Arabidopsis thaliana: one gene and its partner. The protein of the gene in region 2 interacts with the protein of the main gene of each other region in a pairwise test. Each region holds a gene or a part of one and is shown on either strand. Other genes may lie near its edges.

Evidence for each region. The genes of interacting proteins can lie anywhere in the genome.
Region 1: the proteins of ERS2 (region 2) and WAK2 interact in a protein complementation assay, tested with the Arabidopsis thaliana proteins (one large-scale study listed by BioGRID).

What each region holds. Positions count from the first base shown.
Region 1 is NC_003070.9:7,441,610-7,451,210, reverse strand, and holds WAK2 (wall-associated kinase 2), read right to left. Parts: upstream 6,463-9,601; 5' UTR 6,215-6,462; coding exon 5,383-6,214; intron 5,309-5,382; coding exon 5,138-5,308; intron 5,062-5,137; coding exon 3,866-5,061; 3' UTR 3,522-3,865; coding exon of another isoform or gene 2,808-3,521; 3' UTR 2,728-2,807; downstream 1-2,727. Other genes in the region: AT1G21280 (Copia-like polyprotein/retrotransposon), read left to right, coding at 2,808-3,521; WAK1 (cell wall-associated kinase), read right to left, coding at 9,319-9,601. UniProt on the Arabidopsis thaliana protein: Serine/threonine-protein kinase that may function as a signaling receptor of extracellular matrix component. Binding to pectin may have significance in the control of cell expansion, morphogenesis and development.
Region 2 is NC_003070.9:1,152,762-1,161,837, forward strand, and holds ERS2 (ethylene response sensor 2), read right to left. Parts: upstream 5,053-9,076; 5' UTR 4,785-5,052; intron 4,379-4,784; 5' UTR 4,365-4,378; coding exon 2,589-4,364; intron 2,517-2,588; coding exon 2,355-2,516; 3' UTR 2,003-2,354; downstream 1-2,002. Other genes in the region: AT1G04300 (TRAF-like superfamily protein), read right to left, coding at 1-48, 118-210, 275-363, 473-584, 957-1,134; AT1G04330 (uncharacterized protein), read right to left, coding at 8,823-9,076. UniProt on the Arabidopsis thaliana protein: Ethylene receptor related to bacterial two-component regulators. Acts as a redundant negative regulator of ethylene signaling.

The sequences.
Region 1 (9,601 bases), 6.3 Mb from region 2:
TGCGAGATCACTAAACGAGCAAAAGAGGCGAGAGATAAGGAGGAGAGTTACGCTTTTCTGATGGGTTTGAACAAAGATCTCATTAAGAAATCAAAAATCAAGCTCAAGAAACCTCCTTCATCTATTCACGAAGCCTATAATATGGTTGAAGAAGCAGAATGGCAGATGAAGTTGACCTCGCTAAGACTTTAGGCGCATGTTGATGATCATAAATTTTCTTTTTATGCTTTCTTTAGATTCTAATATTTTAAGCAATGAGCCATTTATTTAAAGTAAGCAAAGAGACACACAAAAAATAAACATACACGAATCATTTGTGTGACGTCATGCTTGTAATGTAAAAATCTTGACGCTCAATATTTGGGTTTTGAATGGAAAATCTAAGGCCCATTGAAGCCCATCTGATTTAAAATTATTATAGACTTAAAAAAGTGAAAAATCGAAGTGGATAAATACGAAGCAAAGCCCTAGAATTAGAGAAGCAGAGCTCAGAGTTAGTCAGAGCAGTGACGACGATGGCGGAAACTATCATCAGCTTATTATCTCCCACACTCGATATCAAATCACCCTATTATTTCAATCCAGATTATCTTCACCAATTCAACATGCACACCAATACCGCAATCGATAAACTCAGCGAAGCTAAAGACAACTACGCCATTTGGAAACTGCGATTTTTCGATCTCCTTCAATTCACGAACAAAACCGGGTTCATCGACGGTACTCTCCCAAAACCAGACCCTTCCTCTCCATACTATGAGCCATGGAAACAATGCAACGCGATTGTTTTGCATTGGCTGAGTAATACCGTGACCGATACGCTTCAAAACCATGTGTTGCAAGCAGAGACTGTGCATAAAGCATGGGAAGATCTCAGACGTATATTCGTTCCATGTATTGATTTTAAGATCTACGAGCTTCGTCAGAGACTCGCGACGCTGAGGCAAGGTGGTGACTCTGTGGCGGAGTATTTTGGGAAATTGAGTAAGGCTTGGCTGGAGTTGAAGGCGTATGATCCTGTGCAGGAGTGTAAGTGCGGTGGTTGCGATTGCGAGAGTGAGAAACGAGCTACAGAGGCGAGAGAGAAAGAGCAGCGTTACGCGTTTCTGATGGGTTTGAACAAAGAGTTTGACTATGTGAAAATGAAAGTCATGCACAAGAAGATTCCTCCGTCTGTTTACCAAGCTTATGAGATGGTTGTGTATTCAGAAGCGATGATGAAGTGGAAAATGGGAGGAAGAATTTAGGAATTTGCAGGTCCGTGATTTTAACTTTTTATGCTTTTATAGTGTTTCTTTTTGAAGTGTTTTCGTGTTTTTTGAATCCATATTGGTACATTATCAATGTCATATGGAATTAGATTCGTCAACTGAAATTTTGCATAAGAGCTCTAAATTTGGTTATTTGACTACTGGTTAGTATAACAACTATAGATGATGCACAAAATATTCTCTCAATACATAATTTGATGAGGCAATTACAAAGAAGTAGGATTCATGTTTTACAAACAAAAGACATGTGTGAATTTGTCAGAGCTCCGATGTCCAATATTCTTGATGCTGTCATAACTACGGCTACTGGTATCTCCCTGTGTTGATAATATTCGAACACCGAGCAAGTGTTCAATCTCCCTTGTCTCAGGATACTGATTATGTTTTAATTGTTTTGACTTTCAAGGTCTCTAACTCTGCAGCTACTTCGTTCATCCTTGGCCTTTCCTGTACCCTCAATCGCAAACTTCATATTCTCCTTCTCTTTTTCTCTCTAAATTGGTTTCTCTCATCTCTCCAAAGCATCTGCTTCTTAAATATAAGAAAACACACTCCATTCTTGAGATGTTCTCTTGACTTGGTTCCGTTGACTTGTCCCCACTTTCTCCTACATTAAGGTCCTTAAAGAAAAACACATTACAAAGAGGCAATAGTTTCAACATGTTCGGGTGAGATAGAGACGCAGATATCGTGTATGAGTCATTGAGTCCACATCGGCGACAAAACTCTTTCTCGTCTGCAATTCCATGGAGCCTAACTCTTCTGATGTCTTTTTTCCTACATTGTACTAGAAAATGAAGAAGGGTTGAAGAATGGGTGGGAGAGATTTTGGGGCAAAAATGATTTCACCAGCCTTGTTGGTGCCAGGAGAAGTCATATTGACCAAAGGGAAAGGAAGCTCAAATGTTTGCTTGGACCAACATGTTTCTTGACATTCTCTAGTATCCACAAATCAAAACTAGAGAAGCTTAAAGGGTTTCTAGCAATGGAAGCTAACTTCCCTTTGTATTCTATCAATATTGATTCACACTCCCGAACCAAAACATCCCTAGGCACTTTGATAAAACTTAGCCTCTCATATCTAACATGAAAACACACAATCACCATTCACCGGATCCATTCTTAGTCTAGGGGCCCAAGCACCATAATAGATGGAACCATAGATGCAAAGTCCCTTGGTTACACGGTAATAAGGAGCTTTGGTAAACTGATTACGTGTTTTTGATGTTTCTTGTCCTCCAAAACCAAGATACAGGTCATGTGAAGACACCAGGTTCAACGCTTTGATTAATGACCAACAAGATCATATCCCAATGATGCGCGGGGTCCTTTAATGGGTAAGGTAATCCCTGAAACTTTGGGCTAGGGAGGGGAAATACAAGGCCCATTAAGCCCAACTGTTTACAAAAAATTGCGACTTTTCTTATTTTGGAAAATTATTTCTTTATTTGAGACTAAAAAAGTCAAAATCGAAAGGGATACAAAGCAAGCCCTAGGATTTGGAAGCAGAGAGAGACTCTCAGAGCAGCGACGACAATGGCGGAAACTATCAAGAGCGTATCTCCAACATCAGACCCCGATTCACCGTATTATCTCCCTCCCGATATTCATCATCCCTCCGATTTCTCTATCCAAAAACTCAGCAAAGACGAAGACAACTACGTCGCCTGGAAAATTCGATTTCGCTCTTTCCTCCGAGTCACGAAAAAATTCGGGTTTATCGACGGTACTCTCCCGAAGCCAGACCCTTTCTCTCCGCTCTATCAGCCATGGGAACAATGCAACGCAATGGTTATGTATTGGCTGATGAATTCGATGACCGATAAGCTTCTAGAATCTGTTATGTACGCGGAGACTGCTCATAAAATGTGGGAAGATCTCAGACGTGTATTCGTTCCTTGTGTTGATTTGAAGATTTATCAGCTTCGTCGGAGACTCGCGACGCTCAGGCAAGGTGGTGACTCTGTTGAGGAGTATTTTGGGAAATTGAGTAAAGTTTGGATGGAGTTGTCGGAGTATGCTCCTATACCGGAGTGTAAATGCGGTGGTTGCAATTGCGAGTGTACTAAACGAGCTGAAGAGGCGAGAGAGAAGGAGCAGCGTTACGAGTTTTTGATGGGGTTGAAGTTGAACCAAGGCTTCGAGGCTGTGACGACAAAAATCATGTTCCAGAAACCTCCTCCGTCACTTCACGAAGCTTTCGCTATGGTCAAAGATGCAGAATCGATGATGAAGTGGTACAGTAGATGAAGAATTTAGGAAGCAGGTTTATGATCATAACTTTTCTCTTCTTTGCCTATGTTTTTTTTTGGGATTCTAGTGTTTCTTATTGAGATGTGTTTGAAGCTATATCTGTATATTATCAATCTCATATGGAATTAGATTTTTATGAACTAAAATTTAACACAAGAGTTTTAAATTTGCCAATAACCAGATCGGTTACTGGTTAGTATACCAAGTAAAGGAAAATATGAACATGATTATTGATGATGTACAAACAAATCTGTCAAAGCATTATTGATGAAGCAACAAGGAAATGACTTTCTTTTTTTACAAACAAAAGATATACATGTGATTTTGTCAGAGCATTAATATCAACGGCCAGCTTCAATGTCCAATGTTGTTACATTTCTGATGCTGTCATAGCCAATGCTGCTACTGGTTTCGCCTTGTGCTGACAAGATTTGAACGCCGAGCAAGTGTTCAATCTCCCCTGTCTCACGATACTGATCCGACCACTTATATTTAGTTGTTTTAACTCTCAAGGCCTCTAACTCTGCAGCTACTTCTTTCATCCTTGGCCTTTCCTCTCCCATTAGCCTTGTACACTCTGCAGCAATTCTTGCAGCTTCCTGGATCTCTCTCTGGTTATCCTCATTCATCACTTGCCCATCAATAATTTCATGGAACCTATTATTCTTTGTGGCAGAAGCAAAACAACTCACAAGATTTTTTGGGCAATGTGGTCTTTCGAAACACAATGCCTTTTGACCTGAGAGCAGTTCCATTAGGACGACCCCAAAACTATAAACATCGCTCTTTTCGTTTAACAACCCTGTGTTGTAATATTCTGGGTCTAGGTAACCTAGAGTGCCTTGCACTATTGTTGTGAGCTGCTCTTTATCCATCGGTATCAATCTTGATGCACCAAAGTCAGCTACTTTTGCAGTTAAGTTTTTATCCAGGAGAATATTAGCAGTCTTGATATCTCGGTGGATGATTGGAATAGAAGCAGAAGAGTGAAGATATGCAAGACTTCCTGCTACTTCTGTTGCTATCCTCAGACGGTGCTCCCATGTAAGTGAAGAATCATACAAGGAACCGTGCAAGTGATCGAAAAGGGTACCACTGTTAATGAACTCATAGACCAACAAGGGGACTTCTGTCTCTAAACAACACCCCAAGACCTTGACCACGTTCCTATGGTTGATTTGTGAAAGCACTAGCACTTCGTTGATGAACTGCTCTACTTGGCTACGGTTTCCAAGCCGAGCTTTCTTTATAGCAACTATGGAGTTGTCCGGCAATATCCCTTTGTACACTGTTCCTTGGCCTCCCTGACCCAGGATTCTGCTCTCATGGTAACCATTAGTTGCTTCCTTCATTCCTTTCTCAGTGAAGATTTTGACATCAACATTTGATGGCCCTGCTCCCGAGACTCGCTGTATCAACATGCCTCCACCATTTTGCTCGAAGAATTTTTGTCGGAGCTCTGTGTTCTTCCGGTGCTTAATTTTCTGTTGTAGACAGCTAATCCCAAGCATGATAACCGAGAAGCCGATGGTGGTTCCTGATCACATCACACCTAGGTAATTAGAGCTAGTTTTTTAAAAGGAAAGTATCCGAAACCAGTGAGGGGAACATACCAAGAAAAATTTGAGTCCATCTAAAGTATTCAGGCCTGACTTTACGAGTACAGCTATTAAGGGAATCTTTGCGGTAACCAGATGGGCAGTTACAGTTGAAGCTCCCCTTCGTGTTTTCACAGGTACTATGCTCCGAACAGTTATGTCTACTACTAATACATTCATTGATGTCTGGCCAAGGAAAAAGAGCATGTATGAAGTAAACGATTAAAAGAAGTGATAAAACAGAAAACAAGTTAAAGTACCTTGACAACCGTTTGGAAGGTATGGATTCCCCTCAAAACCTTCTAAACATTTGCAGTTATACCCGGTTCCACCAGTAGAATCGAAACATGTGCTGTTACCACCACACACGCCCCTGTATTCTACTTGTTTGCAAGTCTTGTCTCCGATAGACCAATCTAGTACTACAGGGAACGTAGTAACATTTCGCAGATTGTTGAGATCTTCCAAAGCATGGAAGTCAAACATACCATCTTCAACGAGAAAGGCGTAGGTGCAAGGATTAAACAGATGCACAGTAGGATGGTTGTGAAAGCTATGTGGTTTTACTCTGACAAAAGAGTATCCTCTAGGGACAGGGATCTGGCAGCAACCTTCACCAGAACATGATCCGTTTTTCGTTGTGGCAGAATCACATATTGATATGCATCCAGTTGAGTATTTTTCAACTCCAGATGTGCGGAGAAATGCGTAACTGTTACAACCTACTACAGTAAATCTGTTAAGTTCAGAGAGAGTGAAATTACCCAGGGTGGTCCGCTGGGCAATGTAGTCAGTCTGTTTTCCTTGACTATCGTAGCAAACTCTGGATCTAACTAGCCGAACACGAAGCTGGCCGCTGAGAGACATGTTGATGACTGGCATGTTGCCAAAGAAGAGCTTCTCTTGCTCGTTGCAAGTAAGATTGAAACTTTCATCTCCGGGATAGTAACAACCTGGAGAAGTACCAAAAGGGTACTCAACTGCGACATTGCCACATCTAGTTTGGCACTCCTTGCGAGGTTGCCCCTTGACTAGCTGCGTATAAGCAAGGTAGAAAACAGCCACCACGAACAAACCCTCCTGTACCTTCATCTTCTCTCTTTCTTTCTCTCTCACTCTTTTAACTTTGTTCCTGTTTTGAGTTTTCGCTAATCTCCTTTTTCTTATTAGAAACAACTGTATATGAAATGTTCTCTTCACTCATTTTCGCAGGCCCGCTCCCATTTTGTCATATAATGCAAGAAGACGAAAATTCAACTACACAACCAATGTAACCCATGAGGCGTGAAGAGGACGTTTGCTGCATATTCCTGTATAGTATTTAAACAGTGACAACTATAGGTCTTGGTCTTCTCGTCATTCTTGATATTTTTTTCGTTAGTGGGGAAACCGATTTAATTTTGTTAACAGTGACACTTATTTTCTTACTATTCAAAGATTAAGACAGTTGCAACTTGCAAGGAATCTTCAATTATGAAGACCCTCTTAAGTCAACTTCAGTCTCGGTCCTCTCTTCTTTTCTCGATATTACAAGGCAAATTTACTCTTTTTCTTAACAGTTAATTTCACGCTCAAAATATGAAAATTGCCTTTTAAAATGACGATATAGGAATTGAGACTCCTGAATCCTGATCACAACATGCTCTGTTTTCTTATGATGCTTTTATTACGACTTGTTTTTTTCCCCACATTTAGACATTTTGAGTCATAAAGCATTATGCCACCAAGATCAGACCCTCTTGCAACTTCATCTTCTCCTTCTCTCTTTGTCTCACTAAATTTGTTTCTCTTTGAGTTTTCTCTCATCTCTCCGTAGCATCTGCTTCTTAAAGCTAAGAAAACACACTCCATTCTTGATATGTTCTCTTGACTTGCTTCCGTTGACTAGTCCCCATTTTCCCAATAATTGCAGGAATCTGCAATAGTAAATATTATTTTACAGAGCCGGACCAATGAAATTCGGGCCATTTAAATTACGAAAACAAAGTACTTTTGTCTTTAAAACTATAGAGTAAATAGAAACCAATTTAAACAAAACTCTGAATTATTTATTTAATTGTATGTTAGATTTATAAATATTTTGGATCACACTATTATTTAAGATTAATATGTATAAAACTAACTATTTCTCCTATTAAAAATCAATATATATATATATGTATATTTAATTACAATAAAATTTCTGTGGGACCCTTTTAAAATGGGAGCCCCATTAGAATGTTTCATCTTCATGTGCTATGGTCCGCTCCAATATCCTTCTCTTACTTTTCTTGATTTCCAGGCAAATTATGTAGACCACCTTCACCTAACCCTTCTCTTCCCTGCTTTTTTATTTCCACTGTCTTTTAGAATTAGACCTATTGGTAGTTAAGACAAATGATAGTTAAGATTAGGTTTTCCAAAACTTCCACAATGGCTTAATCCTCATAGATAAACGAGCTTCTCGATGATTATCTGCAGCATACAGTTCAATGAAATCTTGTGCATATAATACCTTCTGAGCAAAAACAAACAAAACACTCAAAATATGAACAACAATAAAAAGAAATAACACATGTCAGAAAATGCAAATCATCAATGGTAAGATAAAAAACTAGTTTGCTTGATGTTGAAAAGCCAACGCTTATATATTGATTCAAAGAAGAAAAAAACAGAGTCTGTCAAGCTCTTACACATTAAGGTCCTTGAAGAAAAACAAGGTTCGGGTGAGATAGAGACGCACATATCGTGTATGAGTCCATTATGAAGAAGGAAAGTTGAAGAATGGGTGGTATACATTTTGGGGGAAATGATTTCACCAACCTTGTTGGTGCCAGGGAACTCATATCAACCAAAGGGAAGGGAAGATCAACTGTTTGCTTGGACCAATCATGTTTATTGACATCCTCTCTAGTATCCACAAATCAAAACGTTGGAAAGAAGCATATGCGTTTCTTGCAATCGACGCTAGCTTCCCTAGGGGCTTTGTTGGGCTCCGGAGGGAAACTCAAGGCCCATTAAGCCCAACTCTTTATCTTTTTTTTTTTTTTTTTTTCTCTTTCTCATTTTGAAAATGATTTGTTTAATGTTAGTCAAAATCGAAAGGGATAAAAAAGGGCAAGCCCTAGAGTTTTAGAAGCAGAGCTCAGTGACGACAATGGCGGAAACTATCAAGAGCGTATCTCCATTATCCGACCCCGATTCACCGTATTATCTCCCTCCAGATATTAATCAACCCTCCGATTTCTCTATCGAAAAACTCAGCGAAGCCGAAGACAACTACGTCATCTGGAAATTTCGATTTCGCTCTTTTCTCGAACTCACGAACAAAATCGGTTTCATTGACAGTACTCTCCCGCAGCCAGAACCTTCCTCGCCGCTCTATCATCCATGGAAACGATGCGACACAATAGTTAAGTATTGGCTGATGAATTTGATGAGCGAAGAGCTTGTAAAGTCTGTGATGTACGCGAAGACTGCTCATCAAGCGTGGGAAAATCTCAGACTTAGATTCGTTCCTTGCGTCGATTTGAAGATCTACCAGCTTCGTCGGAGGCTCGCGACGTTGAGGCAAGGTGGTGATTCTGTTGAGGAGTATTTTGGGAAACTGAGTAAAGTTTGGATGGAGTTGTCGGAGTATGCTCCTGTACCTGAGTGTAAGTGCGGTGGTTGCAATTGCGAGAGTACGAAACTAGCTAAAGAAGCGAGAGAGAAGGAGCAGCGTTACGAGTTTTTGATGGGGTTGAACAAAGAGTTTGAGGTTGTGAGGATAACAATCATGCTCAAGAAACCTCCTCCGCCACTTTACGAAGCTTACAATATGGTTAAAGGAGCAGAATTGACGATGAAGAGATACAGGAGATGAAGAATTTAGGAACCAGGTTCATGATCATAACTTTCTCTATATGTTATGCATTTCTTTTTGTAAAGATTCTAGTGTTTCTTATCTAGTTGTTTTTGATAACATCAATGTCATATGGAATAAGATTTATGAACTGATATTGGTAATCTGCTATTTTGCAAAAGAGTTTCTAAGTTTGCCTATAACCAGATTGGCTACTGGTTAGTATACCAATGGGAATTACAAACATGGTTATTGATGATTTATAAAAATTCTTTCAAATCATTATTAATGAAGCAAAGCATTATTGATGAAGCAACAAAGAGGTAGTTTTTTTTTTCTTACAAACAAAAGAAATACATGTGAATTTGTAATATCAGCGGCCAGTTTCAATGTCCAATATTGCTACATTCTTGATGCTGTCATAGCCAATGCTGCTACTGGTTTCGCCTTGTGCTGACAAGATGTGACCACCAATCAAGTGTTCATTCTCCTCAGGGTACTGATCCGACCACTTATGTTTGGTTTTTTCGACCCTCAAGGCTTCTAGCTTTGCAGCTACTTCTTTCATCCTTGGCCTTTCCTCTCCCATTAGCCTTGTACACTCTGCAGCAATTCTTGCAGCTTCCTGGATCTCCTTCAGATTATCCTCGTTCATC
Region 2 (9,076 bases):
TTTTCCATCCCCAATCATGCTCTTTCTTCCAAAACCGGTGCAGTGTATCTGTAAGAAGTGAGTTCAGTTGTCTGCATATTCAAACGGGGGTACGTAAATTAAGACTGAAAAAATCACCTGAAAACTTTGATTTCTTGAGATCTTGACTCAACACAGATATAGTAAACTGAGCGAACTGACTCCAGCCTGCCTCCAAGATAGCAAAAGAACCTACATGACTAGGTATCCAGAGAGAGAAAAGGGACCATGCAGACAAGTGGACAATAATACTAACCTGGAAGAAGTTTATCATAATTTGCAACACAGAGAAACAAGGAGAGATGATTACAAACATCACATCCTTGTGGATAAATTAAAATATACCTGACACATTGAAGACAAATAGAACAACACAGAGCCTCAACAATCACATCCCGAGATTTTATTGTGACACAAGATATAAGGATGAGAAAGATAAACAGATGCCATGTACCATTTGTAACCGCCAGCTTCAAAAACATTGCTACGATGCTCCCTTTTAGTGATTTCTGAAAATTTCGGAATCTTCCAAGTATACTGTCCATATAACTCAGAGGGTTTCAGGCCTGAAGAAGATAATAAAGTTCACATTACACAGCTGAAACATTCATCAAGAGTACAATAAAGTAAACCAAACAAAGAAGGAGAAATACTACATAGTAGGATGCTATACAAAACTGAACTCCTTAACACAAACAGATAAAGATCTCTAGCACATGACTAGAATATTTCCACCCCAACAATTATTTTAGATGCATGCATTCTTTTCAACATCGGATACTAAGGCAAAGAGAAATCTCTGCCTTGCAACATTAAGATGAAAATAAGTATGTTAACATCAAGAAATTTGCACTTGTACAAAGTATAAAGAAACTCAGTTTGAAATTAGCCACATCCAAGTTTTACTCACTGGGAAACCAAACAGTGAAAAGACCTACCATAATCATCATCGTCATCGATATCCCAGTAAGAGGGGGATGTGGATGGAGTCCCGTTCTCCACTTGACCAGAAGAGCGCCACTCTGAGAGTGCTTCTCCTGCTTGACTGTGTTGTCCATTTGAACTCTCCTCTAGAGATCGTCCAACCCCAGAATCTTCATCAACAGCCTCTGCCATTCCCCAGTATGAAATTGTTTCGTCAAAGCTCTCTCTCTCCTTCAACTATCAGCAATTAACGATTGGAGCAAATAAATTAGATTTTGAATTCTGTAATCCCCACAATTATGTATACCCAGAAAACAATATGCCAAGTCATGATTTGAAATGGACAAAGATATTCAACGATCTGGCTCTCTCAAACTATACCAATCCGCAATCATTTCTAGATTTTATCCGTGAGTATAACGAATTCATGGCTAAAAAATCGAAACCCTTTAAAACCCACATCAGATAATCGATGGGCAATAAACCCTAATTTCCAATTTTCAAAATTAGATTGGTAAAATTACAAACAAACAAAAAAAAATCAGCCGAAAAATTAGAGGGCGGCGAAGCAATATATCATTTCAATCAGCTAAAATATCCAGAGAAACCTCATAATTTCATCAAAGACATCGGAAAACAAAACAAAGCCCAGATGAAATCAACGATCGGGGAAAATCAAAATCGGTGTGGTATCAAAATGAAAGACTGTAATCGGAACATAAAGCCTCGCAAAATCCGAAGAACAAAGGAGGAGATATAGAAGAAGCTTATTGGTTGTAGATCGAAGCGAACCTGAGATGGTGGAAGAAAGAGCAAAGAGAAGCTAATTCGTTGAATGGGCTAATGGCAGCTCCTATGAGATTCTACAGAGAGAGAACAAACCAAAAAAGACGACGGAGGAAAAGAAAGAGAGATAAATAGAGAGAAAGAGAGGTCGCACGAATCACCTCAATGTTAAAAAAAAAAAATCACATAAACCTTTTAAAAACAAAAGTTAATTAAAAGGTCGAAGTTAATATGTACCTGGATACATATTGTGGATACAAGTTGTATACGGTTTCTGGATCAGAAATCAATAAATTTATAAGCTTCATCTAAAACGTCACAATATTTGACAAAGGAGTTGGTAGGCTTGTAAATCACAAATCCGTAAGGAACATCCTCCGACACATTTTTTTACTTTGAATTCTGTTATCACCAGCAAGTTACAACAAGTCTGCATCATACCTTTTGCCTACACGATAGGTTAAAACCTAGTTAACTTTCAGGTTTTTACAACCGAACGACAACGTTTTAGTACTCTCTCTGTTAATCTCATTAAAGCCCCTACTGTTTTTACAAATTCTCAGATTCCACCCCTTAAATCTTTCTTTTGCACTACATTCCCCTCCCCCCCTTCCTGACGTCAATGATCAGTGGCTAGTAGACGGAGGAGTTGAGGTTCTAAACGTTTCTCCAGAATATCCACCGCCTCTCGACATCATCGATCGCCGGAGTTGAAACCGGAAAACAACTGAGACGCTTTTCACCAAACCTAGACCGTCCTCAACAACCCGAATATTCCCTTGCATATACTGTCACAAAACAAGATAAAAGTGTTAAACCAAGTCATTAGCACATTTACATACAAAACACAAATGACCAACCTTTACAATGTTTTGGCAAGCGTTGAGACTCGGATTCTCTTCCTCCTCCTCCAGGTTACTACCACTACTACTACTACTACTCTCTTCACCTTCAGCAGTTACCTCGAATCCGAATCTAACTTCCATGTATTCTTTCGAATAGCAATGTCGCCAAACCGCTTCTTGAATATCTTTCCTCTCTGATACGTCTGAGTTCCCGCTTTCCGGAAAAACCCAGAAAGTCACATTCCCTTTGATCTTTCGATTCATTAGAACCCCAAGCATATGCAAAATCGCTTGAAAGACCTTTCTATCATCACCTACGACGTAGTCAGGCAATGCTCTATAAACTTCAGCTGAGAAACCAAAACCATTTGCCATGCATAAACACCTCGCCACGCAAGCTGACTCTTTCACAACCGAATGCAAACTGAAATAATGAGTCTCTGCAGCGCGGATTGTCCCATTGTTTATATCTCCGGCATTGTTTACAAGCTGTACAAGTAACTCGCTGGTTCTCCTCATTGCATCAACGATAACAGTCTGGTTCTCGGGTAACTTCCCATCCTGAAGTATCAAAGGAAGCAACCCGAGAATGGACCGCACAGGACACCTCATTGCATCGCTCATCATCTGCTCGAACGCAGCCTTGGCTTGATTAGCTCTCAGTGCGTTCTCCCTCGCAACCTGAAGCGCTCGGTTCTGTTCAGCGAGTTTCTCTCTCATAAGCTGAGATTCTTCAAGAATCACGGCGTGAGAGATTGCAACCGCCACTTGATCAGCCACCACCTTAACAATCTCAAGCTCTTGATAAGTCCAAGCCTGCGGCTGTCTCAATGGAAGCACACACACCAATATCGCATAACACATGTGAATCGCCTCTGGTGTCCCGCCTTTAAAGTTACAAACCCGAAGCATAGGGACTCTTATCCCAACCGTAGGACCTGACTTCCCTCGGCTAGTCACTGAGGCAAGCACAGAACCAGGGCTCAACATATTCACCTCTTCGCTTCTCTTAATCCTCACAACATCAGACTCACTAATCGGTATCGAGAACCCAGCATAACCACCAAAATGCTCATTCTCATTCTCATCATCAATCCTCGGTCTTAACTCATGAGTAAGATTCATCTCCGTCTTGATCTCATTCGGGATCCAAACCGCACAGTTCTTGAGCCCCAGAGTCTTGGACAACTCCACAAGCGTAGTGTATAGAATGGTGTGTCGATCAAGAGACGTCCTAATCTTGGTAGTGAGCATACGAACATGCAAACTCGTCTCAGTCTGCTTCATAATGATCCCAACCTCACGATCAAGCTCTCTGGTCTTCTTACTCAACATAAACTCACGAACCTTAGCCTTAAGAAGCAATGGTAAGAGAGTGACTAACGAGAGTGCCGTGAGGAAAGAGACGATACCAGTCAGCATCTTGAAGACAGTGACAGCTGTCATGACCCAAGGCCAGTGAGGCCCGTAGGTGAAACCAGCGAGCAAATGGGTCATGCCGCAGAGAACAATGAAGGCTATAAACTCGCAGACCACCCAATTGTAAGGTGAAGGCACATTGGTGCGGCTCACGAAGTAAACCAGCTCGATTGGGATCGAGAAATAAGCGATTGCGATAAGAAAGTCGCCGACTTTTTGCGAGTTGAGGATTGTCTCGTAGCTAAAGAGACTGTCTTCGTCGTCGCAGTTGCATAACGACAAGCTACCGTCGTCTTCTGCGGCGGTGACGACGGAACCGATTAAGAAGAAGAAGAAGAAGACAAGCCATTGGACTAACAATGTCTTTAACATCGATTACTGTTTCCCTGAGTAAGAATTAATTAAAAAGGTGAGATTTTTATTCATACCCAGAACTCAAAATCGAGATTTTTCAATTCAATATGCGTAACGTTTGGATTTTGTATACCCAGAATTGTGCAATTACCTATGAACATAGTGAAAATCAAAATCAGAAAAAGATTCAAAATTCAAAACTTGTTCAAGGAGAGAGTAAAGTTAATGTCTTTTAGATTATAAATCTTTTTCACAACAAGGACCGAATTTGTAAATTAATTTTCTTTTAATCCCCTAAATGTATGAAGTTATGAACCACCCACAAGAACAAACATCAAAATCTACCGATTCCTCACAAAATCCGCAGAAAATTCAAAATCAGATGAGAAATAGCGAAAAGGAACATCAAACCCATCTCACATTTGAGAAATCATATACCTGCAACGTAGTGATCAGCCAAAAATCTCTTTTCCAGAAAACGTAAAAGCTGTAGAAGAAGAAGAAGAAGAAGTCTAAACGATTGTTGAATCTTACGAAACTCACCAGAATGTGTAGAGAGAGAGACAAGTTAGGGAAGTAAATATGTGTGTGAGCAGAGTCTCTCGCTCTCTCTTTTTCTGTGTCTGCTGCGATAGAGAGAGTAGATTTACGTTTTGGTGAGAGAGAGAGAGAGAGAGAGAGAGAGAGGGAGGAATTGGGGGGAGAGTGAAGAAGGAAAGGGGGGTGGGACCCAGAAACGGTACATGAAGAGAACATAGACGCTTTTCGTTTGGAACACAACACGAGCACGACATCTTCTTCTTCTTCTTCTTGACCTACGTGGACTCTTACCAAATTCAATTTTAGAGGATTCTTCTTCTTTTTTTAATCTTTCCTTTTCAGCTTTATTAATTAATGACTCTATTTTCAAGATTTATGACTCTTAATACCTATCCCAAATTTTATTCTGCTTTTGGATTACAATAAACAACCTATAATAATATATATATATATTTATATTTCTATTATTTTATGTATAAAAATAAATCTATTCTTTTTAATGTTTAAAAATTAGTTAATTATATTAAATAAATGTTTTATTTCTATTATGGATGATTACATTGGTTTTTTAGAAAGTGAGATTACATGACCAAATAGTAGTATAAGTTTACATTAAAACCAAAAAATTGCATTAAACAATGATAACTACTAGACTATGCAAGTATGAAGTCTACTCACTAAATATCTAAGTTAAAAATAGTATTGACTTAAACGGCACAATTTGCGGCTGATTTGATAACATAATGAGTTAGTTTATTCGACTGACTTAAGATATTTGGTAGATAATTAAATATGCAATGCTATTTTTCGTTTGTAAAACGTTATATTGACCTACCTTGCTACTTATTAGACATGATTTAGTTAAACACTCCATCTTTGTTTTTCTACTCAATAATAACAATACCGAATCAAATTTCTTTGTGGGTCTACCGCCACTTAACTCTTATCAGAAAATGGAGTCTTAACTAAGTGCATGATCATCTCTTTGGATCCCAATATCACTAAATTATCGATCGTACTACTAATTTTTCTTGGCAATTTTATCATTTTATTGGTAATATTTCCCTTTCAAGAAATCAATATGATCAACCACTAACTTTTCTTTGTAAACCGCAAATTTAGAAAAATATATACACATGAAAATCCGTATATTTTGATTGCCCTATTGAAATTTAGTACAAGTAATATATAAACTAGCTACATAACCTCGACAATAACGAACACTTATCAGATTTAGAAGACAAAACTAACAGCAATCTTGCTATATCGGTTTGAATTTTATGTTTTTGTTTATTAATATGAATTTGATCTTAGTGGATGCACTAGGAACATTTTATGGTCAAGGTTTTATACCAATATAAATCTTTTAAATAAATAACCAGTGGTCTAGTGGTAGAATAGTACCCTGCCACGGTACAGACCCGGGTTCGATTCCCGGCTGGTGCAGATTGTATTTTTTTCCTGTTATACAGGTTTTTTCGCTTTTTTCTTTTTCTTTTTTTCTGAATCCAATGCTATTATTGGCCACGTGTCGAGCGATGAACACGTGCTGATTCCTTTCCTTTTCTGTCTACATTCTCGTCACTATTACAAAACAAATGTCTTCTCCTTTTAAAGAAATCACTGGTAAGAATGCATGCATCATAAAACTTTTATCAAAGAAATAGAAATAGTGCATGCACCTTTGCCACTTAAGCCAATATATATGCAAATCAAAACAGATGTACACAGAATCATTTTTACTTTTTTTGCATGAGACCACATACATATACAGTATAATCTTTTGTCTGTAAAGGCAATCCAGTACAAGACTAGCTAATGTTTGATAGACGTTTCATTTATACAGCAAGAGCGGGACTGATTGTTTATATACGGAAATTCATCAAATATTCAAATTGATTTAAAAAAATGGTGATTTGAATTACTTTTATAGTCAGATGATTTGATCAATACATTTACATCTTCTTTCCGGTGACATTATAAAAACGTTTAATACTTCTTTTAAAATTTAGTATTTTTCATGTATATAAAACATGTATCCTTGATCTTTCATTCCTTCTCTCGTTTTTTGGGACCAACTTTCTGTTTAGGTACGTCTTCCTTAGAATATACGAGATTCTCTTGAGTCTTGAATATGAACTGTTATCGAGAGTACGTTTCAGCAAATCTCCATTTGTTTCCCACTAATTAATAACGAAATCAAACTTTCACCTATCTGTGGATCAGACGACAGCTTTAAAAATTCACTGTCTTGTTTATTCTTCGACCCTTGGCTGTTAATGTATAGTAGCTTTTTAATCGGTTTAATCAAATGTTTGAACACTAAACAGCCCAACAACTTAAAGCCTTAGTAAACCGGATGATGTTATACTATACCAAGATAAACCGAACTCACACTCGCAAAACAACTACTACACCAACTTATCTTGTAAAACATTTAATGTGATAATTTTGCAAAACTAAGTAAGAGAAAGATTTCAAAACAAAACATGTTTTCTATATATACTTGTTTTACTTAGTTACCAAAAAATATATTTTTACGTTTTCTTTTGTCGCCCAATGGATGCTATTATAGCATCTACATATACATTTTTGCAGCCATTTTGTGAAATAAATCTTGGAGTTGAGACTTATTTACAATGGCTGCCACTCGCATTTATTATTTAGTTTTACAAAATTTTAAAAGATATTAATCAAACGATATCTTGTTTAATTTCTTTCTAAAAATCTGTACACAATCTTTTCATATATCTTCAAAAACAAAATTCCGTGAATTTTACTCCAGAAATATGCATAAATTCGATTTATAGCAAATATTTATATTAACATTTTGCATAACAATAAAAATACTAATTTATAATAATGAAAATATTCACATAAAAAATCATATACACATACAGAAAAAGAATTATATATATCATCATTTAAGCCGTTGCTTTATTTAAATAAAAAAAAATACAAAAAATTGAAATCATATACTTTCTATGATAAATTTAAAATCTATATTAGTAGTAGAAATTTAAAATCATTCAAGAAACGGTATAACACGGGTGAGATCCTAAAATTATTGTATTTATAACAAAAATAATTTATTTTCTTGGATTTTATAATACTAATATTTAGCTAACGAGATAATATAGACGAGTTTATATGGGATGACGGGTTTTGATCGATATCAATAAAGAAAGGTATATCACGGATGAATTCTTAAAATTTACAATTAAAATACAATTATACAACCGTAAACACAAAAAACCATATAATATTAACAAAACGAATATAACTTGAAACTTAAAAAATTTAGCTATAAAAAATCGACCCACGGTATACTGCAGATAAAATATTCAAAATTTTAAAATCCACCATACATCATTACTTAAAAAAATATGTGTTTTCATATCAATACTTCAAAAATTGAAACCTAAACAATAGTAATCATATACTAAATAATACAGAGATTGATATCTACATTGAAAAATACAAATTAATATGATATATTTTCAGTTAATCTTTAAAAAAGTAACATTATATTTTTGTAAACAATATAGCCCCGCGGTGTACCGCGGGTTAAATTCTAGTTGCTATATATAGATTTAGCAATCGATTTTCTAATTTTTTTTGTCACCTATACAAAGACATATTGATATGAACGCATGTACAATTCTTTAAGAAAAATATTTATAAAAGAAATCAAATTACACGGCGATCTTAGCTAGTGTCTTCAACATTACACAGTATACGAAACAATACACTATATATATTAGTTATTAATTAATGGTTACAAGGACATAACAACATCAAACCCAACATACATACTGCATAAAGATGGTAATGTTAAAAAAAATAAAATATGCTATTTGTCAATATGATCGGCATACAATTAAAAAGATTCAAATATTTATGTATTTGTGTGATAGACCTAATATTAAGAGACCGTTAATTTGGCCATGCAAACGGCTGATTCGATGACGGTGCTGGCTGGTAGTAAAACGGAGCTGCCGGATGCTGCCACTTCTTAAAAACCGGCGGCTTCTCCGCCTCTTTACCCCACCGTTGCTCCTCCCTCTTCATTACCGCCGGTGGTTTTTGTGGTGGCGACTCCGTAGGTGATAGAAGAGGAATAGCCACTTTCCAATTCGCTTCGCAAGGGTTTATCTTAAGAGGCGGTGGAGCCCGCCGCTGCAGCCTAC